Danio rerio: one gene and its partner. The protein of the gene in region 1 purifies or fractionates together with the protein of each later gene. This does not show direct contact. Links are inferred from orthologs where the notes say so. Each region holds a gene or a part of one and is shown in the gene's direction. Other genes may lie near its edges.

Region 1 (7,612 bases):
AAAATTTTCTTGCTTTGTTAAACATCAATTGGGAAATATTCAAAAAAGAAAAATCTAATCAAAGGGGGTCTAATAATTCTGACTTCAACTGTAGATAATGTTATTATTATAACACATCGTTCCCCCATAATCACATCTTAAATCTAATTTAAAAGCAAACTGTCATTTTCAATAAAATAGAATTGGTTCATTCATGCCTAAGTCATTTGTGTCCAAGTCTTAAGTGTCTTTTGTCTTTCATTCTCTCACACCTGCTTATTTTAAGCATGGTGTAATAATCAATAAGTTTCTTACCCACAATCCTTCTTTTACACTCGACTGCTCTGATAAAAAGAGAACTGTGTCAGTATTGGGCCTGGAGAGGAATGTGAGACACATTATGGTCTATCTGTCTGTGTCTCCGCAACCGTCTGCTTCATGGCCCAGTGGAGATTCCCTGCCATTAGACTTCGATGCGATCCTAAGTGAAGCATAAACTGCAGTGCATTTTGTTTATACGTTCTGCTACGATTATGAGTGTTGCAGCTCTCATTGCTTTTAGACATTCCCCTATGGTCTATTTTTTTCTCTTGCATTATTTATAGTACTCTGTTTATATGGTGATATGTTGGAATAGTATGTGCATGTGCTGTACTGCATATCTGAGATCTATCTATCTATCTATCTATCTATCTATCTATCTATCTATCTATCTATCTATCTATCTATCTATCTATCTATCTATCTATCTATCTATCTATCTATCTATCTATCTATCTATCTACCTATCTATCTATCTATCTATCTATCTATCTATCTATCGTTCTATCGTTCTATCGTTCTATCTATCGTTCTATCTATCTATCGTTCTATCTATCTATCGTTCTATCTATCTATCGTTCTATCTATCTATCGTTCTATCTATCTATCTATCTATCTATCTATCTATCTATCTATCTATCTATCTATCTATCTATCTATCTATCGTTCTATCTATCGTTCTATCTATCTATCTATCTATCTATCTATCTATCTATCTATCTATCTATCTATCTATCTATCTATCTATCTATCTATCTATCTATTGTTCTATCGTTCTATCTATCTATCTATCTATCTATCTATCTATCTATCTATCTATCTATCTATCTATCTATCTATCTATCTATCTATCTATCTATCTATCTATCGTTCTATCGTTCTATCGTTCTATCTGTCGTTCTATCCATTGTTCTGTAATTCTATACTATTGTTCTATCTTTTTATGTCTGTCTGTCTATTGTTCTATCTATGTATTTATCTATTATTCTATCTATTGTTCCAATTATCTGTCTGTCTGTCTGTCTGTCTATGTGTGTCTGTCTGTCTGTCTGTCTATGTGTATCTGTCTATTAATTTATCTATCTATCATTCTATAATTCTATCTATTATTATGTCTGTCTGTCTGTCTATCATTCTATCTATTGTTCTGTCATTGTATCTTTCTATCTTGTTATATCGTTTTATCTGTTTATCCATTGATCCATCCATCCATCCATCCATCCATCTATCTATTGTTCTGTAATTCTATCTATTGTTCTATCGTTTTGTCTGTCTGTCTGTTTGTCTGTGTCTGTCTATCTATTGTTCTATCTATCATTCTGTATGTCTATGTATCTATTTATCTATCTATCATTCTATCTATTGTTCTGTCATTCTATCTTTTTATCTTGTTATATCGTTTTATTTATCTTTCTATCTATCGTTCTATCTTTTGTTCTGTTGTTCTATTAATTGTTCTGTTGTTTTGTCTGTCTGTCTGTCTGTCTGTCTGTCTGTCTGTCTGTCTGTCTGTCTGTCTGTCTGTCTAAGAAGCAGTTCCTTTTCAGGTATACATATGCAGGAATAAATTTTGCATATGCTTTGGAATACACAGCAAGCATTGATCTGCAGTATAATGAAAAAGCTGTTGTATTACATAACAGCCATTTACTGTTGACTTTTTTAAATTTGAATATTAACAAACTCAATTAAAACAATTAGATTTAAGCCAATACTATTCAATACTACTATCGACCTGCTGCCAAAAAAAAGAGTAAAGAATTGCATTGCTCCCATTACTGGTTTTATGGCTGGCTAATGTTACACGAGTAAATGTGTTGTGTAGATTCATTTTGAAAGTTTCTTGTTGCTGCTAATTGCAATCATTTTGACTTCTTTCTTTTTTTTTTTAAATCAGATTCTTGAACGAACCCTCGAGCCAGACAGCTCAGATGAAGAGCCACCACCTGTCTATTCACCACCAACATATGACATGCATATATATGACCGGAAATACCCTGAAGCTCCTCCTGTTCCTCCACCCAGGTAAAAAGAAATGTTATTTACTTATATTTATTTCCACCTCCAACAAAAAGGGACTTTAAAATGATCCAGACTCAGAAAAGCAGATGGGGTCTCCTTTAGTCACAGTTCTGTAATTGATGCCCCCTGGTGTTCAAAAAACAAACAGCAATTCCCGTTAAGCCTTGTTTTTGTGGTGTAATCACCATTAAGCATGTAATTCTATTTATCCATGAATGTAATACTCATGAATGCACGAGTACTGAAAGGGTCACACACGTTGTAGCAGCTGTAATTGAATTATGACGATTGTGAAATTTGAGAGCTGCACTGAAAAAAAATTATTCAAAGATGATTCCTTGGATTTACTTTTTTTTTTTTACATTAAGTGGTTGTAAACAATTTATTTTGGCTGAATTTAAACAAAAAATTAAGTTAAAAATTACTACATGTAATTTGTTTGTTTTAATTCAACAAATAAAAATTGTTTACAACAATTTTGCAGAAATCATTTTTTTCAATGTGCTAATAAAATGAGGGTCAGTGACACTGGGCTCTGTTATCTTGCAGATTTGAGGCCCAGCCTCCCCCTGGACACAGGCAAGTACAAGGTTACAAAAACTGGAACCCACCATTACTTGGCAATCTGCCTGATGACTTCCTGCGAATCCTGCCTCAACAGTTAGACAGTATACAGGTGAGCATTAATGGAAGTGAAACCCGTTTGAAGAAAATCACTGTATTTTTTTCTGCAAAATTGTGTGAAATTATTTTTATAATCCAACATCATCTATAGTGTCACTAAACATATTTTATTAAAAGGTCCTGTGCAATTAAAATAAAGATTTTTTTAGATGTTAGTATCAGTATGTAGTTTTAAGGCTATCTGAAAGCTGGTGTACTCCAAAACAGTGACAAATTTTACATTTAGAATATATGAACCTCATATAAACATCCAAAGCTTGCATTTTGTCACTTCCACCTAAATGAATCAACTTTTTGAGTTGTTTTGACATGACCTCATACTTCAGTTTCTCATCAAATCTTCTGACCAATCGAATGCTCTACAGTATCTGACATGTCCTGCCCCCTTCAAGACACTTTCATTTGATGCACATGATCTCAACCTCTTTCACTGACAGAGCGATGATAAAATCAAAAAGCTATTAGCTGTTTTAGCCATCTCTTCATGTTTGAGTTGTGATTACATCAGATTTCAAATAAATAAATAAATGCATGTTTCAAAGCACTTCACAGAAGTTTTAAGTTCTTTTAAACTTTCTAATAATCATGACAATGCTTGGTGCCAAAACTTTTTTGCCTTTTGATTTTGCTCAAGCTCTTTTGCTATTCAATGATATTAAAGAGCTGTGAATGGTTCAGAAACATCATTAGAGGTCATTAAAACTTGCTAATGCAGTAAAGAGGTGCAGCAGGGAGACCAATGAGCATTTGCTTTTAAGCTCTTATTCCATTTCTTGCTTTCTGAATGGCTTTATCAACTTTAATGACATTCTTGTTCCGTTGTACAGATGCAGTCATCTTGCATATGATGAGCATTCAAATACAAATCAAATGTTTTTCTGTTCACTATGTAGCCGTGACTTTCTAATAGTATTAAAGTAGTCTAGGTTATATTGTAAAAAAAATAAATAAGGCATATTTTCATTCCAATAAAAAGATATTTTTAGTCACCTCCGGACCATCTAGGTGTAGGTTTTAACTTTTTTTTTTAACATTAAAGTAGATTTTTAGCTGAAATTGTCATAAGATGCAAGTCAATAGATACCAGCACTTTAAGAGTTAAAAACAGCTTGTTAACATGACCAATTATATCCTGCCAATCAGAGAGATGGGAAAATGCATGGTAATTGAGCTTTGTGTAAGATTAAAATGGCATGTGTTCATTTTTTTAAATAATAAAAAGGCTGTTTAAATGATATAGTATTTCATTCATTCATTTTCCTTCGGCTTAGTTCCTTTATTCGTCAGGGGTCGCCACAGTGGAATGAACCGCCAACTTATCCAGCATCCATGTTTTACACAGCGGATGCCAGTACTGGGAAACAATCATACACACTCCCGTTTACACACACTTACACTACAGTCAATTTAGTTTATTCAATTCACTTATACTGCATGTCTGGACTGTGGGGGAAACCGGAATTACACTCATTACTAAGCCAAACTGACATGCTATTTCAGAGCGAATATTTAGAGTTGCATGGTAAACAATATAGGGAGAGACTAGGCGGAATAGCGGTATTTACTTGTGTTTTGTTGTTAAACTAATTAAAATCTACATTATCTATGCTGTAAAAGGTCCCTTATCAAACTGAAAATAGTCTTATCAATCTTTCATCGGAAGATTTTAGTGGCTGAAAAACTTCTGTGAAGATGTAACCCATTTGTGACAACAACATCTAGCGTTACATCAGCTTTGCGTGAAGCTAAAACAGTTTTAAAACAGAACATTACCTGTCTAAAAGAAATCCTTCAGCCATGGTGTCATCCTTTCTCCAGGGTGCAAAGGTAACTCCAATACTGATTCAGGTTTTTAAAAAGTTTTGATTCAGCAGGTTTTTACCGATCTCGCATGCTCTCTCTCCCTCTCACATGAATGCACAACACAAACAGCAATCGGCGGAGATGCGTACAAACGTCTGCGCAGTTGTTCAAATCTGCATTTGCTGACAGAATTATGAGAGATGTCGGCCCGACTCTATTTAATTTGATGAACATTTTTTAGTTTTATGCCTTAACCAAAATATAAAAACCCTTATAAATACATTTAGATCATTTACTTTAATCATTACTATTAGACTGTGAAGAGACTTTCAACCAGCACAACAAAAAATGCTTCTGAAGACAATCACCTACTGCATCTTTAATGGTGCTTTAAAAAGTCCTTGAATCTGCTGTTCATAAAAGTGGAAACCCTTTTTGATATATTATGTCTTTGATGAATGAATCATTTAATTAAACTGGGTTTTTTACTTGAGCTATCTAAAAAAATAATCTCATTGCAGTAGACAACTTTCTTAAAATATTTTATGTTTATGTACAACATCCTGACTATGAGGATCCGACCAAGCCTGGTTGTTAAGTTTGATAGGTTTTTCAAGTTGTTGAATTTTGTATGAGAGTAATTTTTACTCTCTTCAATATTTTGCAGGGCTCTCAGAGTAGCACCTCTAACCCTTCCTCCTCCACCTCCTCCTCGTCCACCACAATAGCCCAGAAAGTGGTGGCTGCAGCGGGAACAGCCGCCGGGGCTTCAGAGCAGGAGCGCAAACTAAAGCAATATTTGGAAGATGAACGTATTGCTCTCTTCCTGCAAAACGAAGAGTTCATGAAGGAGCTGCAGAGGAACCGTGAGTTCCTTATTGCGTTGGAAAGAGGTAGGAAGACTCTCGCCCACACACTAAACCAGACAATGAGCACTTTCTGACATACTCCACTTCCCCATCCTTTCACAGATCCACCTCCACAAAGTCAGTTCTTATGCTAATTTCGTAGACACTGACTGTTTTGGTTTTTCCTCACACAGCGAGATATTGTTATACTTTGTCATACACACTAATTATTTGATATGAATAGTCATCGAGACGTTCATATCCTATTTAAATGAAGAAGGTATAGTTTTCTTACCATAACACCTGCCTTCTGTGTTTTAGATCGATTGAAATACGAGTCAAAGAAATCCAAATCCAGTCATTCATCAGCTAGCATGGAGAACTCCTCAGGTAGATATCATTCACTGTGTCTGTGCATGTTGGCGTGTCTGTGCATATGCATTATTTTCCCTTTTTAACACTTCTAAGCACCCCTATTTGAGCCTTTCATATGGAAATGTTTTAGTTTGTCCACAATAGTATTCTCAAAGGTTTTTTTCCACACTGAGGGCAAGTTTATTTGATAAGAGTGTATTTAAAAAAAGAAATGTTTTCCTTTACCTCTTCGGGAAAAAAAACATAATGATAACAATATTGTGAAAAGGATCCATGTACTCTTAGATTCTCAAAACCAATCTGATGGGATGTTTATCAATTACTTCTACAGGCCTTCAGAATGAAACTATAATGCCAAGTTCACACTGCATGATTTTAGCCAGCTTTCACTCGCTGGCGGTTTTGTGAAGTTGCCAGCAAATTTCTGAAATCTGAGGCAGTTCAACTTATTAAGAGTCATGCAGCGTGAATTATCAAAGACATGATCAGAGAGAATTCATGAAATATTTTGCATGCTAAATATCTGGACCTGTCTTTGAGTCAAAATCGTCCAATGTGAAAAGAGTTCTCACTGAAAAATACATTGGCCAGACAGAATAGACAGACTTTTTTGTTGTTTCTGTGCAGAAAATTATAGTAAAAGAGCTGAGATCTTAAAAAATACAATTTATAAAACATTTACATGGGTAATGAAAGTCATAATAGCTCTCTCATATAATACATCCTCTAAAAAGCATTGGAAATACAGCTTTACAAGTTGTATTTGTACCTAAATTGTTGAAATATTTGCATATTATTTAATAATAGATATAAAATGTGTATAAAAACTGAATGGATATGTAGTTACACACATTTACATAAATACAATTTAAAACTGATACTTGGGTAAACATAGCCATAGCTGTCCCATAGATATAATACATCCACTAAAAGGCATTGAAGATACTGCTTTACAAGTTATATTTGCACCTAAATCATCTAAATAGTTGCATATTATTTTATAATAGTAATAAATTGTATGTAAAAGCTGAATAAAATGTATTTACACACATTTACATAAATAGAATTTAAAAATGTTGAATGGAAGATGGTTTGGTCTCTAGCCAATAAGCTTTCAGTTTGCAACAGGGCCAGAGCCGTTCAACTCAGAATCCTTCATAGAATTCATATCACAACTAAATTAAGACATAAATTCAATGCAACCCACTCACCTCTATGCGTTAAATGCAAATCAAATATCGGGGATTATATTCATTGCAAATGGGACTGTCAGGTTTTTCAGTCCTATTGGTGCAGAATCATAACCCAAATAAACAACATTTTTGGTCTGGACCATTTAAAATTTTGAATTGGGTAAACACATATACATATGATCATATAATTCATCCACTAAAAGGCATTGAAAATACTGCTTTACAAGTTGTATTTGTACCTAAATCATCTTAATATTTGCATATTATTTGTAAATAGTAATAAAATGTACATAAAAAAGGAATTCAAATGTGTTTACACAAATTTACATAAATACAATTTTTAAAATGTTACATGGGTAAGCATAGCCGCAGTAGCTCTCTCATATA
Region 2 (7,612 bases), on another chromosome or scaffold:
AATCCACTCTGCCGTCGACTCGGATGTCAGCTTTGAGATGGTCCGTCAGCATGGAGGCAGATATAAACCCTTGTTTAAAGCTCTTAGTTGCACCAGTAACACCTGTCAGTCTGAACCAGGCTTTAATAGGGCCTGAGAAGCCTGAAGACCTGGTTAACCTTCATCATAAAAAAGCCCTTTGAGCTCTGCTGGATGTTACTAACAAATCAATTTACTTGTGGAAAAAGCCATAATGCATCAGGCATGAGGTGAAACTTCATTAGCACGCAGCAAACACCCTGCTGAGTTCAGCGTACATGTGTGACATGTTTCTGAGCCTGCTGGAAAAACACGCACTCAGCTTGAAGTGATTTCTGCGCTGTTTGCTCATCTGTTTTGGGGTGTTTATGGGTGTTGAGCTGGATGCACGCAGGCATTTCTGGATGCTGCATTCCAACATGCTGCACTCTCGCTCCCTACAGACAAGTCTGACCATAAACATCAGATTATATGAGGCCTTCGCATGAGTTTGTGCTCTTTTGAGTTTATTGGCAATAGCAGGAGTTCACATATCAGCTGTAATAAATTGAAGCACGTCTGAGGGCTGTTTTCAGCACGAATGTCCACTAACTTGAGCAGTATTGGAAAAAACTACATTTTAGTGTGTTCTTTTCACACAAATGTACTCACCCTAGTAAAAACAGTGAATTATTCATAATATCAAGCAAATAATCTGTGTTTTGTCTATGGTGACAATTTACATCGTAATCCACTTTGCAAACGTCAAACCAAAATATGTCTTGAGAGAACTGGATAAATTGTGACATCATTTTAATAAAATCACATAAGTAGTGCCAGACAGATTATGCCGACATTTTTTACTATATCTGCAGAGAATTTTGTCAACAAATCTGTTCATTTATGTTCACATGCAGAATTATTTTGCAGTATCAAATCTAAAAACTTAAATATATGAAATATAAAATAATCGCTTTTTAACTTTTATTTAATAAAATTTAATGCAAATCCATCTAGACTCATTTATTTGGTCAACGAATCAATTCTTTCATGTAATATCTCTACTAAAACACAGACAATATTACTTTACAAACTGTGTTGTAAATAAATCAAATGATAACTTTAATATTAGTCAAAATCTTAGTCAAAATTACTGAAATTAATTTAAAAACTGAATAAATAAAAAATGACAAACATTTACACAAGTAAATCAATTCTCGATGGGCTAAAAATCTGTGGATTTCTGTTCTCTTTTTTCCCTGTTTCATCAACAAAAATAGTAGATTTGTCATGTAAAAATTTCTGTGTTTCACTTTTTCCTCAGGAGTCTTACCGGCAGGTGATGAAGATGAGGCCGAAGGACCTGTGGAAGAGGCTGATGGTCAAATTCAGAGGAGAGGAAGGTCTTGACTATGGTGGAGTCGCCAGGTATGTGTTTTTTTTACACTATCACAAATGTTCAAACTTTCAAAAGTGAAAGGTTCAGTCTTGAACAACAGTTCTGCTTTGCATCGGGCTGTCAATAAGCCTGTCTGGCTTTATTCTGTGATTAAAAAAGCCTTCTGGATGTATTTTATACTTTAAACTAATCCTTAAAAAAACACCCATAAACAATATGGCAACAAAACTATAAAAAAAAAAAGTGTCACTTTACTGTGCTTTTTATAACAAAGTGTATTTAAGTCCCACATTAAATAACAAAAGGACATTAAATGTGGGATAGTTATATCTTAGTTTGATTAGGCCTTTGTCTGTTTCAAGGAAAAAAATAAATATTTTCATATATAGTAGCAGATTCATTTCACCACTGACATAAATATCATTCCTGACACCATCAATTAAATGGAAAAAGCTGTCAGAATTGTGCTTAGCATGTTGAAAAACATGATCTTAAATAGCTGGAAGACCTTGTTAATCATCAAATTGTTCCTGGGTTTTTAACCTGGCTTTAAAAAAAGGCAATGTTTTGTATGCGTGTATGACTCGTTTGTTATAGATCCTAAGGCCATGCTTGATTTTGTATACAGCATTTCTATATTTTGTAATATCTTGAACAAATGCATCCTATTCAGAGAACATGCACAGTGTGCTTAATCATTGTTTGGGTACAAGTGCAGTATGTGAACAATGAATACAATGAAAAGAAAGCTGAATCACTGCATGACGATAAAAAAAATGTTTTTGCCTTCTGGATTCTCTCTTTTTGATTAGTATAAAAAATGCACAGGAACACATCTCAGATCCATTCAAATTGTTTCAAGTATTTGGTTAAATACTTAAAGCACAAATGTGTTATATGTTAAATTATACTAAAGCATGTTATCACATTGCCATATTCATAAAAAGACTTTTAATACAGTAACCTTGCATTTCACTTCTGTAATATAAAGGAGAGTCTACAAAGATGCATGTAAGATGTAAATATTTCCAATCCAAGATTGCACTTCACTTTGAAAAGAAGTTTCATGTCAATGCAGCTCTGTACAAGAAGCATGAATGAATGCAGGCAGACCTTAAGACTCCTTCTCTGGCACATATGACACTTTTGCACATCAAATTCTTGATTTTATATAAACTTAATAAAAACTTTAGCTTAATATTTACAGTGATTTGTCAATAATATGACTTCCCACAGCATTTTAATGCTTGTCAGCTATAATTTCAAGTATGGTTAAAAACAAAATGCTTCGTAACAACACAAAAGCATTTAAAAAGCCTTGTTTTAACAAAGTTCTGCATTTTTTCAGTCGATAATGGGTCCCTTTGAACTGAGCTGTTTTTTACTGGGTAAACAGTGTGTTTATTTACACTACAATTAAGAAAAGTAACCAAAGTTCTAGACAAATATAGATCATCCAGTGTCACTATTAAAGTTCTTTGAGAGTCCCGAAAAAACTCAAAGACAAAACATAATTAATAACTGTAGCTCCTAATGATACATTGAGGTCTTCAAAAGTGAAACCTGTTAACCCATAATGTTATTCATTTTCATAGTACAATCAATTCTTAATAGATTAAATCAGCTCTTGAATCATGTTCTGTTTCATTAATATAAAAGCTGAATATTCTGAAAGTTAAAATGGGTCAAAAATGTTTTGTTTCAGGCTCTTGTTTCCATCTAGTGGTAGAATAAGAGTATAACGATGTGAAATTGGGTCATGGTGGATTTATGTCTGTCAATATTTTGTGCCAATGTTTGTGCGCTTTTGTGTCATAGGGAATGGTTATACTTGCTGTCACACGAGATGTTAAATCCATACTATGGGCTGTTCCAGTATTCACGAGATGACATCTACACGCTACAGATCAACCCGGACTCGGCTGTCAATCCAGTGAGTGAAAGTGCACGAGCTTCTGAACTACACTGATAATTCTTAAGACAAGACACTGCTGAGATTTTGAGATTGGCTTTTTATAAAAATATAAAGTGTTTCTTTTATAGTACCTAATTTGTTATATCAATTTATGCTTGTGTGATTTCAATTATAAATCTCAATTACAGTTATAACTCTGCTAACTCTAACTCTGCCTTTGAGTTGCAAAGGCCATTTCTTGTTTCTAGTCTAAATATCTACATTTAATAGCAAAAACAATAGTATTAACTTACCCCACTGGCAGATACTTTCCTTAAAACAAGCAAAATCAGTGAAAACTAAACAATATTTTACTTGGTCTAAGAATTTTTTGATTTTTGGACTAGAAACAAGACAAAACAAAGTAAGAAAGGCATTTTTTGCATTGTGATTTATTCCATTTCTGTGCGCAAATCCCCAGAAAACCATCTAATAGTGCTATTCAAACCATCATCTGAAACCGTATTTATATTGCAATATTTATTGCAGAAAAATAAAATATCACAATATCAGATTTTTTCCAATATCGTGCAGCTGTCTAGAATGCAAGCGCTTTACAAAATTCACATGTTTTTATGTTTGTTTTATAGGAGCATTTGTCTTATTTCCACTTTGTGGGGAGGATTATGGGAATGGCTGTTTTCCATGGTCACTATATAGACGGGGGCTTCACTCTGCCCTTCTACAAGCAGTTGCTAGGCAAACCTATCACTCTGGATGACATGGAGTCAGTGGATCCGGACTTGCACAACAGCCTCGTCTGGATCCTGTCAGTGTGCTTAACATATCCATCTATTGCATGCATGATGAATTCTTTGATATGTAGTATTATTAGTAGTAATTACTAATAGACTAGTAATATAGTATGAGTATTTTACCAATAATATCATTAAATTTAATATAAAAAATTAATAAAACATTTAGAGTATATAAATCTCGCATAAGTGTCTTTCCAAAAACAAAGGTATTGTAGTTAACTAAAATAGAAGGATTAATTTGATGTAATGTTGTTATTATACACTCTCAGAAATAAAGGTACCCGAGCTGTCACTTGTGTGGTACCTTTTCTAAAGTTACAAACTTTTAAGTAAAAAGCCCATATTAATACCTCAAGGGTACATCTTATTAATGTAAATTATGTTAGTAAATAAACCAAACCAAAATGCATACATAAAAGAGAGTGGGGGTAAAGAGTATGGGGGGGAGGTTGCCTATATCATAGCCATAATTATTATTTTGTCTAATTGCATATATCATTAAATGGGGGTGTCACGATGGTGCAGTGGATAGCACGATCACCTCACAGCAAGAAGGTCACTGGTTCGAGCTTTGGCTGGGTCAGTTGCCATTTCTGTGTGGAGTTTGCATGTTCTCCTTGTGACCACGTGGGTTTCCTCCGGATGCTCCGGTTTCCCCCGCAGTCCAAAGATAGTTTATGAGTGCGTATGGATGTTTCCCAGTGATGGGTTGCAGCTGGAAAGACTGCGTAAAACATATGTTGGCGCTGTGTCAACCCCAGATAAATAAAGAAAGTTAATAAGAATAAATTATTAAAATTAATTAAATTTCAAGCGAGAGACTTTATTACATTTCAACCAGTTGCAAAAGGCATGTTTTATCGGCTAATTTTAAAATAAAATAACTAAATCTAAAACATATCAATTTACTTCTAAAACTAAAGGGTGTTTTAAAATAAGCTGTTAAAACATTTAAATGGCAAACAGAAAGAAATAACATTTTTTATAGAAAATACTGTAGTTATTAGATGATCCTAAAATGCAGTTATGAATTCCAGGTTGCTTTATACGAAAATGTAATTATCTAAATATTAAATCCAGTGGCAAATAAGGGATAAAAACACATAACAGATATATGTACATATAGGGATTTTCCGATCAGGTTTTTTTGCCCTCGAGTCCGAGTCATTTGATTTCGTGTCTACCGATACTGAAACCCGATCTAATACTTCAATGAAAAATAAAAAAGAATAAAGAAGAGCAAAGAAACAGATCCAGGATGTTCCTTTTTTGTAATTAACCTTATTTTGACATTCAACAAATCTGTTAACAAATAGAGCACTTCTGTGAAGTAGCTTGAACAATCAATTAATTAATAACATCAATTCTTCACTTTTGGACTTTAGTGCAACAGTAAATATAAAACAAAAACTAATATAAAACAAATAGCATCTCATTCTAAAATACCCAGAAGACAGTTCCAAGTTTACATATCTCACAGTTTTCTATAGCAATGTTGTCTTCATCAACTTTATAATACCTCCAGACCGCAGACATACTCGCGCTTTGCGCTTCAAGTATGTTCTACTTTGCTGACATTTAACCAATAGCGTCTCTGTAACAAAGTAATGTCATGCTGCACGCGTTGCTGTCAAGGAAGAGGTCTAACTCTGTGCCACCGCATAAACTATAGATGTGTTAAAAAATAATGAGAATTAACGTCTGAAAGCGTGTGATCTACCCCAAATTTTCCAATTACGTGATCGGATCTGGACATCCCTATGTACATACATAGAAAATTATGCAAATGATATAGTATATTTTAATCACTTTAATATACATACATGAATATATAATTGTGTGTGCACTATTAATAGTAATTATTTTTCCTCTATCTGTTTTTGTGTTCAGAGATAATGACATCACCGGGGTGTTGGACCACACGTTCTGCGTTGAACACAATGCATATGGAGAGATCATTCAGCATGAGCTCAAACCCAATGGCAAGAGCATTCCAGTCACGCAGGACACCAAGAAGGAGTATGTGAGGTAAGATATTCACACCTGTCAACCTCTCAGTCCTGCTTTTCTGATGCTTGTCTGTGGGTGTCATCAAATGTCCTGTTTCTGCGCAGGCTGTATGTGAACTGGCGGTTCCTGAGGGGCATCGAGGCTCAGTTCCTGGCCCTGCAGAAAGGCTTCAACGAAGTCATTCCACAACACCTGCTCAAAGCGTTTGATGAGAAAGAACTGGAGGTATAAAAACACCAATCCTTTATAAATGTATGTTCAATAGGTGTTGGGCTGTGTCAGTGAGAGCCGTAGCTTACGGAATCGGGCCAATGGCTTCAGAGCTCAAACTCTAAGGCAAAACTCATGTTGCATTTCTACTGTCAGACCAGTAACCCTGCTCTAAACCCTGAACAAGGCTCCTGAAGAAACGGTATTCAACAAAATTTAAAAAAGCAGTCATGATAGACTATTCTTACACTAACATTTGACCAGAAATTGAATAAACTTTCTTTATTTTTTTTTAAGTATTCAAACACATTGTCAAGTTTTAGTCCAACAAACACAACAATTAACAATAAAAGATGTAATATACCAACAGTACATAAGGAAGTAAAAAATGATATATAAATACATGTAAATATTTTTATTGAACATTTTTGATTTCAAACAAAGCCCAAGATTTAACCAAAAAAAAAAGTAAAATAAAATAAAAATAGTAATACTGCAATAATAGGTATAAAATCATGATTCAAACATATCTGATACATTCTCTTTCATATTTAACCAAAATTGTACAGTTTGGCTGCTGTTCATTCTGCTGTGGCGACCCCAGATTAATAAAGGGACCAAGCCGAAAAGGAAATTAATGTACAGTTTGGCACCATTTATTTTGCCTGTGGTGTATTCCAAACTAATAAAGTCCATTAGATAGAGCCTCGAGGTTAGATCAGCCGGAGCAGATGGATCCAGCCATATTTTTAGGATTTTTTTTTTTTTTGCTGCAGTCAGAACAACATCCTTCTTTGTGTCATAAGAGAGTCGCTGACAACAACAAAGTGCAGATCCAAATGCAGGTTTATTAAGAATAGTCAGACAAGCAACGGTCAACACAGGGGTAGACCGATGTATATAGGCAATCCAGACTCAAGGTCAGTCAACAGGCAGATTGTCAAAAGGCAGGCAGCAGACAATGTAAAGAAACAAACAAGGCGAGGGTCTCAACACAACAAGGCAAGGAAAACGTGTCGTAGTGTTAACTTCACAGATAAACAAGGCTCAGTAAGGAGTGTGTCAAAATGAGCTGATATAAATGTGCATGTAATCAGTACTTGAGCAGCATCAGCTGTATAAGTGTAATCAATGGAGACTTGAAGCAGGTGTGTGTGTGTATGTTGTGTGTATGTTGCATGACAATATTGACAGGGTTTTAGTCCGTGTAAATGTGAATGTTCTCAAGCGATTTATGAAGGTTAGATCGCTGATGATCATGACACTTTTGTTGATGGATAAGGA

What was found. The genes of interacting proteins can lie anywhere in the genome.
Region 2: the proteins of cuedc1b (region 1) and smurf2 purify together in Homo sapiens (co-immunoprecipitation; 3 studies listed by BioGRID and IntAct, with this or other methods). This does not show direct contact. The link is inferred for Danio rerio from reciprocal best matches to the Homo sapiens genes CUEDC1 and SMURF2.

The regions. Positions count from the first base shown.
Region 1 is NC_133190.1:33,801,859-33,809,470, reverse strand, and holds part of cuedc1b (CUE domain-containing protein 1b), read left to right. Parts: intron 1-2,197; coding exon 2,198-2,325; intron 2,326-2,871; coding exon 2,872-2,998; intron 2,999-5,476; coding exon 5,477-5,702; intron 5,703-5,978; coding exon 5,979-6,047; intron 6,048-7,612.
Region 2 is NC_133178.1:24,032,182-24,039,793, reverse strand, and holds part of smurf2 (E3 ubiquitin-protein ligase SMURF2), read left to right. Parts: intron 1-1,321; coding exon 1,322-1,425; intron 1,426-3,214; coding exon 3,215-3,329; intron 3,330-3,940; coding exon 3,941-4,119; intron 4,120-5,998; coding exon 5,999-6,136; intron 6,137-6,222; coding exon 6,223-6,343; intron 6,344-7,612. UniProt on the Homo sapiens protein: E3 ubiquitin-protein ligase which accepts ubiquitin from an E2 ubiquitin-conjugating enzyme in the form of a thioester and then directly transfers the ubiquitin to targeted substrates.